Caenorhabditis elegans: one gene and its partner. The protein of the gene in region 2 interacts with the protein of the main gene of each other region in a pairwise test. Each region holds a gene or a part of one and is shown on either strand. Other genes may lie near its edges.

Region 1 (7,198 bases), on a different chromosome or scaffold from region 2:
CGTAATCCGCAAAAAAACGCATCTCTATTTTGGACTTCCCAATAAAATCAATGCCTTTTAAAAAATAAAGTGCCTAAAAATCTGAAACATTGGGTATTCGAGATAGTTTTTCATGAAACTTGTAAAAAAAATTAAGTTATGCTAATTTCAAGATAACAAAACCTTAATGCGTTTCAAATCTATCTAGCTTCTAGTCCTGTAAAGAACAGTTTCAAAGTTTCGTCAAACGATTTTTTGGCAAACCTTGGACTTTTGCATATGTATTATTGCATGCCTCATTTCACGCATCTATTCCCATCGTCTCACCGTAAAATCCTGATAATCCTAATTTCGCTTTTTCGCCCCATCAATGCCGCTGGTTGTCTCACCTTCCTTATATCTATTATCCGAATCCATGATCTGCCGTTGTCTGGCATGAGGTGAAGAGAAAGAGAGAAACACTTTTCGTTGCAGAACTCGTCATATCAATTGTCCTTTTCCGCGCGTCCCTCATGTCCCACCGTGCCGTACGTCAGATTTCCCTCAATGTCGCAATTTCTGGTTTTGACCAATACCTTCCTCTCGCCTGAAAGGCAGGCTCCTTTGGCATTTTATTCGAAAAGCCCCGCCCACATGCTTCACCCTTTTTAAGCGACGGGCCAATCGGTAAAAGTCATCCAATTCATTTGGTTCTAACACTTCTATTAAACATGCAGAAGCTCATCGTTTTCTTCACAACCATCGCCGCCGCTCAGGCTTTCCTTCTTCCATCTGGAGGAGGTGGAGGATGTGGATGCGCGTAAGTTTTTGATTTTATTGATTTATTTTATTAAATTCCAGATTTTTTTTTATATTCTTCACCTATTTTATTTTTCTGGTTCCTGAGATTTATCTTTAGTAAAAGCCATTCATTGTCGATTCCTCTAATAGTAAAACTGCAGAAATCAAAACTTAATTTCATGATTCAACTTCAAATTTTCTTTTCCAGTCCACCACCACCACCACCACCATGCGGATGCGGAGCACCAGCTCTTCCACCACTCCAACTCCCACGCTTTGAGCTCCCAAGACTTTCTCTTCCATCCCTCGGAGGAGGATGCGGAGGACCAGCTCCATGCGCCGCTGCCCCAATCGCTGCCCCAGCAGGAGGATATGCCACCGCCCCAGCTGCTCCAGTCGGAGGATACGCTACCGGACCAGCTTTCGGAGGAGCCGCCCCAATCGGAGGAGCTTACCAAGCCGCCCCAGCTTTCGTAGGAGCCGCCCCAGTTGGAGGAGCTTACCAATCCGGGCCAGCTTTCGGAGGAGCCGCCCCAGCCGGAGGAGCCTACCAATCTGGACCAGCTTTCGGAGGAGCCGCCCCAGCCGTCGGAGGAGCTTACCAGGCCGGACAAGCCGCTGTTGAATCTGCCCCACTCGGAGGAGCTGCCCCAGCCGGAGGATACCAAGCATCTGCCCCAGCTGCCGTTGAAGCCGCTCCAGCCGCCGGAGGATATCAGGCTGCTGCCCCAGCCGGAGGAGCCTACGCTGGACACAAGAAGAACTAGACGATCTAATAACGTTTAGATATATCTCCTTTTATTTATTCGTTGTTATCAATTGTTGAATCTTCCTTTACCTGTATATCAAGTCAATTGTTTTGACCCAATTCTCGAAATGAAATTTTGGTCTCAAACACTGCTCTCTGACTGCAAGAAAAGCATATGTTTTTTTCGTAAACTTTTTATTTCTGAACATTGGAATCTGGCAAGTTGAACAAAATTAAACAAAGACTTCGAAAGTCTAACTGTGAAAAATAAGTTAAGGTATTTTGAAAACAATTTTGAGTCCATTGTTCAATCTTTAAGTGTCTCGACATTGTTGAGATAAAATTGTTTGATTCCTTGGGCAAATATGAAGAAATTCTCTTTCAGCACTTGTACATCCACATTTAAATTGACTCCTTCCTGAAAGTTACAATTTCAAAAAGTCGATCACAACATAAGAATTCCCTATTGAAGCATTCAAACTGACCAGGTATTCTGCGAGTAACTTGATAAAATTCGCACTTTCATTTTCATTCAATAGAGTTTCTAAGCTTTTTTTAAAGCCTCCTTCTAAATCTTTTGTGTTTATTATCCGAATGATTAAATTTTTTTCGTCCATTTTAATTTGAGTGTTACACTCTCTTAAAGCGGATCCACATTCTCTCAAGAGGAAGAAATTGTCATTGTTCTTGTCATAATTAGGGCCACCTCTCTGCAAAAAATAACTAATTGATTAAAGATTTTTAAGTTTAAAAGTGCCACATACTATTTCTGGGCTTTGACTGACTGAAATTTTGATTTGAATCAATTTTTTTGTTTATTTTTTGTGTGGTTTACTACTTCAAAGATATAGACTAACGTGTTTAATGGATTCATCAAGGGTTTGGATCACAGTCTGCAACGGAACTAATAATCGATACAGTATGGCAATCAGAAGATTTACAAGGAGAGTCACTTCGGAATGACGGTCCCATGTTTTATTGAAACATGAACGAAGAAGAACGCTCATTGCTTTGATATCTTCCCTGAATATTAAGAAACTACTAAATTGTTTTGAAAAATTAAAAATTCACCATAGCTTGCTGAAATGGGCAACCGATGTTTTATATTCATTTTTTATATTTTCTTTAATTTGTTCTATGTCCTCTTGTCCGTATACGGTGTATTCATTGAAGCAGAAAATTGCATCAAGCCGTTTGATATCGTTCTCTACTTCTTCGAACAAACTATCGAGTATATTTTTTACGTTGACAACGTGACTATAAAATTGTTCAGTCTGGAATATTAATCATTTTAAGGTGGGTGGACTGATTTTCTAAAATTATAAATTGTACCTCTGCGTACTCTCTAGTCATTGTTCCATTGGAAATTGGCATGTACGTTAATGGTAAATCACCCCAGTGTTTTTTCTCCTCGTTAATTTTTTTCTTTGTCGAATCCTTTAAGAAATGTTTTAAAAAATTAAACGTTTTTAAAAATTATATTCAAAATCTAATAAATTTGTACAACTGCTTATTAATGCTCTTTATGAAATAGACTTTCATATGGCGCCTCTGTTTACTTTCAAAACTATAAATCAATTGAAATTTTCTAACTGTTTCTATTAATAAATTAATCAAACGAAAAGCTCACCAGTTCCTTCAATGCATTATCCTTGATCTCTTGTTTGTATTTATTTAATTCTTCCATTCCTTCACTGGAATTCAAGTTGATATTGATTACAGTTACAAGGATTTAAATTTGTTTAAAAATAGAGTACGTTTACTATAATTTTTGCCTTGTGTTTTTCAGATAAAAACAGTAATCAGTTGAAAGCACTTGAAAGAATATTATATGCGATCAGAGTTTAACACACATTAAATTTAAACTTGAACATTGAACTTGGACAAGACTTGGAAAATGTCTTAAAACGACGATTCAGTCGACGATGTCTTTTGATATTTGATTTAGAATTTGGGGCTAACGCCTCGTAAAACTAGATGTAATGTTAATCTTTATTCAAAACAATACAATAATCCTACAAGGGACCGTCTTTAAGTACTTAGGTTTTCAACACAAATGTACACTATGGTGGTAATAGTTTCCTCCCGAATTAAAAATAATCACTAACAAGTTTTGAAAAATCATTGCTTCAAGTGGAAAAAAAACTAATCGGAAAAAGTGAAGAGAAGTATTGATGAATGATAAAGCGTAGAATACAACTATCACATTTTTAGCGGTTGTCGGAACAATCATTTTTGTGATAGGAAAGTTATTTAAACATTGAATTGATTTTTTTTTGATTTCTAATTGGATTGAATATACATTTTTGCAAACACCAAATAAAAATCTCTGCGAACATAGAGGCGGTTGAGAAGTTAGACACCAGTTTGTTCCCAAAGTGATAGGCCAGCTACAATGTGTATAGTTTGCTCTCTATTGAGTTGAAGATCTTTTAAAGAATCATGGTCACTGGTCTATTTCGGGAAATGATCATCAAAAAACCATCTGACTTGATTGCGGATGTTTTTTATCTGCGTCGTATTTGACACTTGACAGCTTCAGGGAAATCACCAAAAATATACCTAGTTTACAAAATGTTCCCTGCTTGCAAGATTTACACTTCTACATTTTCTACTATTTTTAAAGATCTATGTGTCTCTTGTATAACACACGTTGTAAATAACGGAAATTAAAAAAAAATTTAAAATGTAAAAAATCCATATCAACAATGAAAATAGTGCAAGGATACGGGATTTCAAAAGATGAAAAAACTGTGAGATCTTACGCGATAAAAATTACTCTAATATCGAGTGAAATTTGAAAAAAAAAGTTATTCACACTGGGTTGAATCGTTATTTTTATATACGTAAAACTTTACAATCAGTTCCTAAATGGGCGGCGGGAAGCTGAATTGAGCCAGTTGAGAAAATGACTCATCGCTCGTGTTCTGTGCTCTTTCTTTACGTATCACACAGGACAGCCATCGTACGAGTAATTAATGAGGGTTTCTTCCCACTTTTTTCTCATTGACATTTGATTGAGGAAACTTATACTGATGTTTTTGAAGGTTTCATTGTACTGATAAATTTTCAAAAACACTCATGTAACTTTTGTTGTGATATTTTGAAAAGAAAATAACTGTTGTAGAAAATAACTGTTGAAAAGAAAATAACTGTGTTTTGTAGTATCACGAAATCGAGTGTTTCTCAATTCAACTATAAGATCCCGTTCAATAATGCATGAAAAAGTTATCATTATTTCTAAAAAGATAAGAGCCGACAAGCATTCAACAAAAAAGTCAATTGAATTTGATTTCTTTTCATTTGTTGTTATTTTCCCGGCTGCCTCCTTGGACTGAAATTGAAATAGAACGAGTTGATCGTTTTGAGCTAAGCCTTCTGAAATACATATTGTTTTTTTTTGGGAATTATAGTGTAAAGCGTACAAAAATCTCTGCTTAAACTGCACAGTTATTGGTCTTGAAAACAAAAGTAACATCCACGCTGAATAGGTTGAATAGATGACACAAAGAATATTATAGAGAAAATAGAAAACTCTCTTGTTCATCGTTTGATTTATTTGGAGAGAGTACACAACAAATGCAAAATAAATAAGTTCGAGACTACAAACTATAGCGGTCATTTTGTCCAGGCTGCTCTCTTTTTTCTGTTTTTCTCTACTGTCAAGATATTTGGATCCGGCCACCGAAGTGCGTCTTGACAACACTTTCTGAAAGTAGCAGTCAAGATTTATACAATTTTTTTTGTTTTTTTTTTAATAGAGTACAAGTTTTGTTTTCTATGTTTTTGTAAGATCATGCCGATGTTTCACTATCCACATTTCATTTTCATGCTTCTTTCTTATATTTTGAACCCACTTTTTTGAGTTTAAATCTATACGTTATATAAGTGACCAAATTGTTCACAACAATTGCCAAAACAAAAAGAATTTCGAGTACCGCCACAAAATTGAAAAATGGTTTCCTGAACTCGTTGTTAACAAATGCCGAGTAATATCTGAAGTTTAAATGCAAACAAAAAATGTGTTCTGAGGTTAAACAAGTGTCACACATACCCTCCGTTCTCATTCACATACTTGTACTCGCGTGGGAGCAAGAGAAACACTGATGCAACTGCTCCTGAGAGTTGGATGGCTTGCATTGTGTACGTGTATTTTGGATAACTCAGCTGAAAACTGATAAGACGATGAGTCATGAAGCTGACTTCAGGAATTTTCAAAACTGGGGAACTGGTTTATAAGCACTATCGGTTTATGAATCATCATGAATCTACCTTTTGATAAAACAATGGGAAGCAAACCGCACAAACACGACAAAATGATAGTATTGAAGCGGTTGCTCCTTGGACACAACGACCTCCATACGAAATTGCATAGAAAATTGCACCGAGCCAGCTTTCATTCGGAAAATAAAATAATGCTAACCATCTGGAAATGTGAGGGTTTTGGTTAGAAGATATGTGGAATACGGTTACTGTCTAGCTGGCAGGATTTGTAACGCAAAAAGATTTACGGCAGATATCATGTCAACAAGAATTCCAATGAACATAAGACGGTAGAATGGGCCTGAAACATTTTTTATTTCAGAGAAATTTGTGCTGTTTTGAATTAGTTCTTGGATTTTTAAACGTTTTTTGAATTCCTAAAACCAATAATATTATCTTCTCTGACCTTTGAAAGTAGAATTCCTCGAAGTGAATAAAATTTGTATTTCTACAAAATAAACTGCAAATGAAATAACAGTAATTGCAAATAAAACAGTCAATGAAGCTGTCTCTGCAATGAGAAACCACTCAGAGAAGCTGTCGTAAACCACGTTATTCATCTGGAAAACTGAAATTATCCTGATCTCAGGAGCTGCAAATGAGAGATCCAAAAAACTGAAATAGTTACTTCAACAAAAAACAAAAAACCAAGAAACTATTTTCAGATTCGAAATTGTGCTGCCTGATCATAGGCCAACCTATTTCGTTTTGAAAGTTTGTAAAATCTGTGTTTGGTTTTGTTTCAAGATTATTGAAGCGAAATAAAAAATTGGAGATGCATGTTAAATGTGCAGCGGTGGGAAAATCAGAGGATTTGCGAAAATGTGAGTAAGTGGAACATGTGACAAAAACCCCCAGAATATGAAATCACATTTTTCATTCGAGTAAGTAACCAATTTTTGACCGCTGGGAACTTTGAGAACTTTGAGATCATATGTACAAATTTATTCCATAAAAATTCATGATTTGTTATTATCTCGACTTCCTTGGACGGATATTGAAATTGACCGGGTCAACTTTTTACCACCGAGATTTCTGAAAATGTTGTATTAAGTATTAAATATCATTTTTCTGGGTGATATACGAGAATCGCTGACGAACTTGAGAATTAATAGGTTTTGATATGATCAGAAGCATCCAGGCTGAGAACGTTGAATATATGACACAAAGGATGTTATATAAAAAGTAAAATATTCGCTTATTCATGTATTGATTGATTTGAAGTGAATAAACTACAAATGCAAAATAGATCAGCTCAACCAGGCACACTATGAACGTCATTTTGTCCAGTCCATTTTCTCGTTTTTGTTTCTCTTGGTTCGATTGATGTTGACTTGGTGTAATAGAGTTTGATTTGATGGCAGATTTCTGGAAAATTAGGTCTGAAGTAAAAATTTGAGTTATAAAAAATACTCTACTTTTCTCTAG
Region 2 (9,051 bases):
CTCTGAACTGAAAATTCATCAACGAAATATCTCTAAAATCTCTAATTTCTCGAAAATTGTGACCGATGGCGGTGTAATTCTGTTCCACTGGCGTCTATGGCGGCCGTTATAACGATTTTATCGAATGGATTGCCTAATTTCCCATAATTCTTGCCCTTTCGCAGAGATTTTACAGGTTTTCCGCTATCTATCGCCAAATTTGGAGAATTATCGATTATTTCTGACGTCAATTTCTATGGATATTTGTTCGATTTCGACCGGTGAATCGTTTTGTGCCTGGACTGATGTTAAAAGCTGACTCTAAATGGGGAATTATTGATCTGAATATAGATTCGCAACTTTTTGCGTCTTTTGAACTTTCCACGTGCTATATTTTAGTCTTCCGTGGGCTCTGCGGAGCGATAATTACATATTCTTCACTGTTTCTCCCATGTTCAGATTAAATTACAGTTTATTCGACTTATCAATCATTTATTAAGGATTTTGACGTGTATTACTCGATATGGAATTTATTAATCCAATTTGTGGAGTGACGTTGTCGTTTTTTAAGCATCTGTTGCTCCTTGGACTGAAGTTGTCTTGGATCGGCTTACGATTCACTGATTTCGGTCTGAAATGACGAATTTATTTTTTAAATATTGAGTTCGAGCTCTTTTTTACGTAATTTTCTAACGTTACTCACTTTTTGATAGGTATTCCGTGCCAGCTAACTGTCCCCTATGCCGTCGGTGACGTTTGCCATGGTGGGAGTGGTGTTGGAGCTGCTTTGCCGGCTTATTTGGCTGGAACCGTCGACTGTAGTAGGGCCTTGTCTTATTGAGCACGATTTTTGCCTGAATTTTTTATAAAATTAGGAATTTTGCATCTTTTGGTGACAATGTACCGGGAGAGAGAAAAAAATTCGAAATAAATTATCAAGCTTTCAAAAAATTCCACAAACTTCAAAATTTCTCCAAAATTTCAAAAACGTTCTTGATGATTTTTGGAAACATTTGAACATTTACTGTGAAAATGTTTATAAGTAGAAAACGCCTACACTCGCAATATTAACCCCACCAACTCCCAACCCAATACCTCTTCTGTAGACAAAAACTCAATTTTTCCTAAACTACGGTAACCCTACCGTATACCTACAGTACTCCTACAGTACCACTACAGTAGCTTGGCATTATCTCCCACCAACTCCCAACCCAATACCTCTTCTGTAGACAAAAACTCAATTTTTCCTAAACTACGGTAACCCTACCGTATACCTACAGTACTCCTACAGTACCACTACAGTAGCTTGGCATTATCTCCCACCAACTCCCAACCCAATACCTCTTCTGTAGACAAAAACTCAATTTTTCCTAAACTACAGTAACCCTACCGTATACCTACAGTACTCCTACAGTACTACTACAGTAGCTTGGCATTATCCATCACCAACTCCCAACCCAATACAACTTCCAACTACAGAATAGAGAGTTGAAAGATCAAAGATCAAACTACAAACTACAAACGGACGGAAGGACACGCGCTTTATATTAGGTTGAGCAAAAAGTCTTTGCAAAATTTGTGCTTTTCTTCATTTCTCAGCGTTAATTCATTTTTTTCTGATTCCGTTTTTGTTATTTGTATAGTACGTAATGAGCATGTTTAATACATTTGAAAAAACTTTTGGGTGCTGTTCAAAATGACCGAGAATTTGCTCGCCGAACGTCACGCCCTCCGAGGGGTTTTTCTGTACGAGTTCCCCCAAAGCTGCAATTGCAACGAAGCTCGTCGTAACATGTGTGCAGTGTTAGGCAAGAACTCTGTCACCTACAATACCATGAAGTTTTGGTTCGAAAAGTTCACGAAAAAGAACTACGATCTCGATGATAAACCAAGATAAGATAGCTCTCGTTCGGATATCGATGAGGATATTTCGAGAGCCCTGGAAGATGATTCAAGAGCAACGTCACGCGAACTTTCTGCGACTTTCAAGCATCCCCAAAAAACCATCATCAACCATCTCCAAAAAACCGGAAAGATAGAAAAGTTCGGTCAACTCGTTCCTCACAAATTGTCCGATTCTCAGAAAAATTGCTTTGTGACCTCTCTCTTTCGCTGCTCACTAGGAAACGAACAACGGACTGGGTTAAGGATATCATTACTGGAAATGATAAATGGGTATTGTATGTTAGCCATACCAGGAAAAAAGAGTGGGTCCCGGTCGAGGAAACCGCGACACCTGACCTCAAATGAGAACTTCACGGAAAAAAGTGCTTCTCTCAATTGGGCGGGACAGTAAGGGTGTCATTTCCAGAGAGCTTCTTCCAGACTTTGCTACAATCAACGCTGGCCTATACTGCATTTAATTGGAAGAGGTGGTCCATGCTCATCGATTACATCGCCCTAGAGGATCAAAGTTGTTGCTGCTCCATGACAACGCAAGACCGCATACAACTTCTAAGACCCGCCAGAAGCTCCAGACAGTCGGAATCCAAATTTTGTCTTACCCATCGTATTCGCCGGGCTTGGCTCCTACTGACTACCATCTGTTCCGCTCACTCCAGAATCACCTTGCCGGGCAGAAGTTTCATGATCGAAAGGTCGTCGAAACGAAACTTAAGTACTTCCCACCAAAATTTAGAAAACAAAAGTTAGAATTTGGTCTGAATTGAAGTATTGCTAGAATCAATGTTTCATTAAAAATGTCTTTATTATACATGATTTTCGATATGGCGAAATTATTAGTGTCAAGAGAAACTGAGCAAGAACAACTAATTTTTACAAAAAATATTGCAAAAAGAAAACTAAAATTTAAAAAACAAAAGAGAACAATATAACGATAAAGTAGAGAACAGTGGATAAAGCGAAGATGACGTGGTTCAGAGCATGAGCAAATGCAGCGTATTGGAGAGTTGAATCTTCGTGTTTTGAGTTCTTCGGAATTGGAAGGAACTTGTTCACGAGCCCGGCAAATGTGGAGACTCCATGTGGGGGTGGGATGTCTACTTGTGAAGTTGCCATTCTCTCGAGAACTAGGGAAATTACGAAGAGGATCGCTGTCCACGTCATGTTGAAGCCGGCGTATTTCACTGAAAAATTTTGAAATTTCGGAAGCTTTGAGAAAAATTTCGAAAATTTTCTGAGATTTTGCAAAAAATTTATATCAATAATTTCAGAGCGATTTGAAGTTTTGGAAGTTATTGGAAAATTTTTATTATTTTTTTTTGAATTTTAGCAGTCTTTTGATCATTTTTTACAACTTGGTTCTGTAAAATAAAAAAATAATGCTTTTAATTTTTTGATCTAGCTAAACTTCCCAAAAGTGTTGAATTCGAGGTGTTTTTTTTTAATTTCAAAACATTTACAATTCAGCCAAAAGTATTTGACAAACTTTAAAATGTTCAAATTAATTTGGTGCAAAATTGAAATTTAATTTTTCCAAAAATTTAAAAAATAAAACCAAATTGAAATATAAAAAAAAAAAACGTTTAATTTTTCCAAAAAAAAAAACATTGAGGCGAGATGCGATTTTTCAAATAAATCTGGCGGCAAATTCCAATTTCAAATGATTGAAAATTATTTAAAATCGATTTCAAAATTTTTTTGATATTTTTGATGCGACTCCGTCCGTCCACATATTGGCAGTTTTAACAACGAAAAGCCTAACATATTCGAGTATGAAAATGTTTGAATTTTTTGGGAATTATTTCGAAAAATTTCTGAAAATTTTGAAATTTTTTCAAAAACTAAGGTTAACTTTTTTTGATCAAGCTAAACTTTTCAGAGTTTAAATTAGAAGTGGCCAAAATTAAAAATATTTGAAAATATTAAAAAGTTTTATAAGGAAAAAATTTTACGAAAAATAATAAAATTTTAAATTATTGCTAACAATTTAATTTTTAGTCTTTCAATTTAAATTGGCGCAAAACTGAAATGTAGTTTTTTCCGAAAAATAAAATGAAGCGATATGCAATTAACTTTTGTTCAAAAATAATTTTTTTTAATTTTCAAATGATTTTGACGCAAATCCGCTCACATATTAGCTTTCTTGGCACAGAAATAAACTTACAAATAGTTGGAGTATGTGCAGTGAACGATGGAAGTCTCTGAGACACTAAAATAAGTGACAAAATCTGTGCAACTACCGAGAATCCCAAAAGAATCGGCTGGGTCTTAGAAAGTTGGAAGAACACAGCGGCCAGCGTGAATAGAGAGGTGATCAGAGCTGGGAGCAACATTTCGGCGGTGAAATATACCGCATTTCTTCTCAGCGAAATACAGAGCTCACCGTTGTCAGCTTGGACATCGAAGGGATTACGACGAGGATCCGAGAGCTGCTCCACGGTGTATGGGGATTCCTGAAAAAACATTGAAAATGGTGAAAATTGAGACTGTTAGGTAGAAGCTGAAGCTCTGAATTAAAAATTGATAAATATTGCGGTTAAATTAAGCGAAAGCTCTGTACTATATTTACAAGAAGCTGTGAAATGAGAAGCATCACACAAAACTTGCCAATCCATTTTTTCCAGTGCCTCCGTTATCCGGAGAGTGGGTAATTGACTTTAAAGAAAATTTTAATTTCAATTAAAAAAAAAACACACAAAAAATTTGGTTTGAAAAAATGCTATAACTTCTGCAAGTTTCCAAAGTATCTCAAAAACTCACCACAACTTCAACGTCTTCAATCTTCCATCCAGACACGAATGGATCAGTGGTGGCTTCTCTTTCCTTATTCTTAACACCCTCTGCAACTGTGAAGTGTACTGCCATAAGACGTTTGTCGTCGAATTTATAGCAAACCTGAATTTGAAAATTTGAAAATTCAAAAAAGGTTACTTTGTCAAACAAGATTCTATACACTTAAATTCAAATTTTAAAATCTCAAAAACTTTATTCAAAATTTTACATTAATAAGTAATCGGTGAATCATGTTTTCAAACAAGGTGTTACCTACGAATTAGTCACTGGGTTAATACTTTTTCAGCTTTCTAACCCCTATAATTTTGAAATAAATAGAGATAAAAGATATAAAATTTGGGTCGATGCACCATGTTCAAAAATTTTGCACCGAATTGTTCAAGTTTCTCAAAAGATATCTGGCATATTCCATCAAAAATTGCCAACTGACAGAATGTTGTAAACCAGTATTTTTCTATAGTTTTGTACGTGTTTCTAAATTTTTTCAAGCCAAACGGCAAATTGATTCTTAAAACATTGATAATAAAATCTACCCACCCTCTGCATATCATTTGGATAGTCTTCATACTGGAATCTGAACGGTGTAGTGAATGAGAAATCCGACCATAAGTAGATCTGTCCGGTGTAATTTGCAGCCAAAACTTTTGATGTCACCTGTCCAGGGTTTGATGTAGAGCCACCGTTGATCTGCACAATATTTGGGGTCCAAATTTGAATCCAGTAGAAGTTCAACCAACTGAGCCCCCACTGTTCCTTATCCCAAGAGACCATAGTGTCGTTCCAGCTGAGCACGAATCTGCCAAACACCTTCACATTCTGCCGACGTTCGTCAATCTCGACATTGTTGATTCGGACGCTCTCAACTCTCACCACCTTCGTCTTGTTATCAGTCGCATTTTGGTAAGTGGTCTGGATATGGGTCCTGAGCTTCCAGGCCCTGTCTCCTCCCTGACAGGAATGACAAGATTTCCTACAGTTTGCCATCATCCAGACCGCATTGGTAGCACATTCCCCGGTGGCCGCCCATTCGGTGCATTTGGGGTCCGCGTCCTCGCAGCCGCCGGCGGTGCCCGCCGCCCACGCTAACGTGGCGGCCAGTGACGTGGCAATGAGAAGCCGAAGCATTCTGGAAGTATTTAAGTATTGAAGAGTATAACGGACTTGAAAGAATGGTTGAAAAAAAAAGAAGGCAACTGAAAAGAAAAGTGATCATCAATAATTAAGTGGTAGTCAAGGGTAACGAGAGGAATGGAATACGAACCGCCCCGGTTTCGTCGTTTGTATCTTCTTTTTTTGTTGTGTAAACTAGATTTGAAATGGTCGATTTTCAACTTTTTTTTGGTTTTTTTTCTGTTTTTACCCCATATGACTTTGTGTAAGAACGGCGACCTTTTTTGACATGATCAATTGAATTGACCATTTTAAAAATAAATTGATGAAGATATAATGATGACAGTGAGCTTAGAAATTGCTTCGGTCAAAGCCATTCGGCCTGAAAATAACTCGGCCACGGTCACCTGCTAGTCCTATAGGTTACAATTATGATGTTACAGGGAGCCTAGAAAATTCAAAATGGTGACGTCCTAAAAACTTTTTCGGCCAATGAGAGGTTTCGTTTTGTGAGTTCACGTGTGGCTCTTTGGCCATCTCTTTATAACTACAGAAAGCTCCTTTGTGCCGTCACAGGTGATTTGATAAGCCTTAGTGAACGTTTTGAAGATTATTCATAGATTTGAAAATTATTGAAAAAAAAACTTCACTTTCAATTAGTTATGCAGAACGAAAATGTTTACAAACAATTTTTGTTTCTGTTATCGGATTTTCTTATTTCTTTTTTTTTTACAGCTTATATCTCGTTTGGGTTTAGTTTTGTTTAAAAAGTATTACTTCAATCAAAAACTTACAAAAATTAAAAATTTAACCGATATGTGTAATCAAGTGGAGGGGCCTTAGAGGAACTCTGCTTGGATTGAAAGTAGGGAAACGGCGGCCGCAACTTATTAAAATTGAATGAGCAAAAAAGACTGGAGAGAGTAGTTTACTTGAAAAAATTCCATATTTACATAATATAAATTAATGAAAATTAAAACCAATTGATTCTCGGAAAGCAAGGTTTTCATCAAAAGTACGAAACATGCCGATAATGACCACAAACGACTCGAAAAAAGAAACAATAAACGCGACAAAAAAGCAAGAGAGACCCGTCCGCCCAGCTTCACATCCCCCAAACGGGTTGTCCGAAGGCTAGTTAGCCGCCACACGCCGCCGCCACCGCCTTAAGCTTCTTCTCATCAGATCTCGTTGACGACGACGCAACAGGTCTGCTGAGATAATGATAAGGTTGTAAAGTGGGGGCCTGTTCCCGAGATAATGATAATGACGGGGGAGAAAAGACACCTACATGCAAAAACCGACAAAGGGCTTTCCAATGATCAAATCGTTATGGGATTAGACTGTCATGGGATTTTCTGATTTTGGAATCGGGATTTGAGATAGAAACTAGAATTTCGCTGGTTTTTGATTTATGACTTAATTGCTTATGGACATCAAAAGTTTTCCAACTAACAATTTAGAAGAATAAAATTATACATATTTTTTATAGATAATTTTTTTAACCCAGACTGAAAATGAAAGAGAGGACCGGTTTTTTTTTTGGATAAAATGTTTAAAAGGATATTTAAAATTTGAAATTCCGGTTCTTTTTTTTGAAAAATGAAATTTAATTCAAATTATATTTTTTAAAGATATTTGAAATTCTTGTCTTGTCGGAAGATATTTTGTTAAAAATGTTTTTTTTATTTCCCGCCAATTGTTTTTTAAACTAAAGTTTAAATTGTTTTTAAACTTTGAAAAAAATTAAAACAAAATTTGAATTCCCGCCAAAAATTGTTAGATAATTTAAAATCAAAATTATCCCGAAGTGCCAATTTTTTGTTTTAAAAATATAAATTTTGAAATTTCCGCCAAAACTCTTCACAACACTTTGGAACATTAGAATTTTTGTAAAGTTTTTTTTTTGAAATTTCCGGCAAAACTGTTTTCAAATTCCAGTAAAAAAACCAATTTTTAAAATAAAAATTTCCTCCAAAACTGAAAAAATTGAATTTTCGTTTAATTTTTTGCAAAACAAAAAAATAACAAATAATGGAATAAACAATTGAAAAAATTAATTTTAAAAAAAAATTATTACATTCCTACCAAACCTAAAAACATTTCCTATAAAAAACAATTGGCAGAAACTAATTTCCGTCGTTAATCTTCTGCCAAACATCTTTCCACCCAATAACACACTACCTTTTTCTTATACCCGTCCGCCGAACCAGTTTCCTCCTAAAAAATCGATTATTTCCAGCTGGGGTGAATGGGCTGTCAAGTGTCCACTGATGGTAGTCAATTTGAAAGGTCAGACTATGATAAACTGTGGAAGCGCATGAATTCCGTGTCGGAGCCCGTGCCGAGCCACGGGAAGAAGCCACCGAAAAATGTGCTCGCGGAGCACGGCGGGTGGAAGATTTTGAGAATTCTACTTGTTTCTACTTACAAGGATTTCAGGAATGAAAGACGGGCGGTTTTGGATTTGGTAAGTGCCGCTCACGTGTGATCAGCTTTGTGATTTACGAAACATACAATAAGCTCCGCCCAATTTGTGGGTGGGGACTATTAAGCTACGCCTCTTTTTGTTGCAATCTGGGATATGCGCTAGAATTATAGTACACTTGAAAAAATGAAGTTTTCAGGTGGAAAACAAATTACAGCCAATTGCATCGGAGAAGCATGTGATTTTACAGGTGGAGGACTTCAGTTGGGTGAGTTTTCAAACCTAGATAGACAGTAGGCGGGCAGTAGGCAGACAGTAGGTAGACAGTAGGCAGGTACTAGGCAGGCAATAGGCAGATAATAGGCGGTTTTAAGTCAAAACTATATTCAAAATCTTACAGGGATCAAAGGCGCATTTGGAGGAAGCTTCTAGTCTATACCTGATAGAAAGACTGTGTCGAGAAGCGGTTTCAAGTTCCTCATACTTCTATTTGCACTTCCTCGGGTGAGATAATGATGGCTGATCAGGACAGAGAACCAAAAACCAGTTGGAAACAGGCGTTCGGAGACTGGAAAGAGGGGCTGATTGACCATTGTTTTGTTTAGTGGCGGCAATGAAGGACGTCTCTTAGAGGACGGATAAAAAATGATTATGATTGTCGAAATACGCTGGTGGACATGATTTCTGGATAATGTTTTGTTGGGATTAAGGACAGGGGGATCCAGTTTCTTAATTATTGTGTTTAAATCTAAAAAGTAAAGGATGCCTTGTAAAAGGTATAGGCTGCCTTTGACGTAGGTAAGCAGGCATAGATTGCCTGGAAAAGGCGTTGACATGTA

Evidence for each region. Proteins that work in one complex are often made in the same cells at the same time.
Region 1: the proteins of lgc-22 (region 2) and F53F1.6 interact in a two-hybrid assay, tested with the Caenorhabditis elegans proteins (one large-scale study listed by BioGRID).

What each region holds. Positions count from the first base shown.
Region 1 is NC_003283.11:13,414,411-13,421,608, forward strand, and holds F53F1.6 (Protein containing ALS2cr12 (ALS2CR12) signature), read right to left. Parts: upstream 3,204-7,198; 5' UTR 3,195-3,203; coding exon 3,138-3,194; intron 2,945-3,137; coding exon 2,840-2,944; intron 2,782-2,839; coding exon 2,579-2,781; intron 2,531-2,578; coding exon 2,365-2,530; intron 2,218-2,364; coding exon 1,993-2,217; intron 1,926-1,992; coding exon 1,815-1,925; 3' UTR 1,686-1,814; downstream 1-1,685. Other genes in the region: cut-2 (Cuticlin 2), read left to right, coding at 690-778, 968-1,526; srv-8 (Serpentine Receptor, class V), read right to left, coding at 4,807-4,885, 4,933-5,216, 5,365-5,503, 5,562-5,674, 5,780-5,933, 5,981-6,071, 6,177-6,330; srv-9 (Serpentine Receptor, class V), read right to left, coding at 6,730-6,805, 6,855-7,138.
Region 2 is NC_003282.8:4,298,057-4,307,107, reverse strand, and holds lgc-22 (ShKT domain-containing protein), read right to left. Parts: upstream 5,803-9,051; 5' UTR 5,800-5,802; coding exon 5,212-5,799; intron 4,777-5,211; coding exon 4,642-4,776; intron 4,537-4,641; coding exon 4,489-4,536; intron 4,335-4,488; coding exon 4,046-4,334; intron 3,066-4,045; coding exon 2,788-3,065; 3' UTR 2,660-2,787; downstream 1-2,659. Other genes in the region: F15E6.9 (RING-type domain-containing protein), read left to right, coding at 8,036-8,254, 8,412-8,480, 8,613-8,716.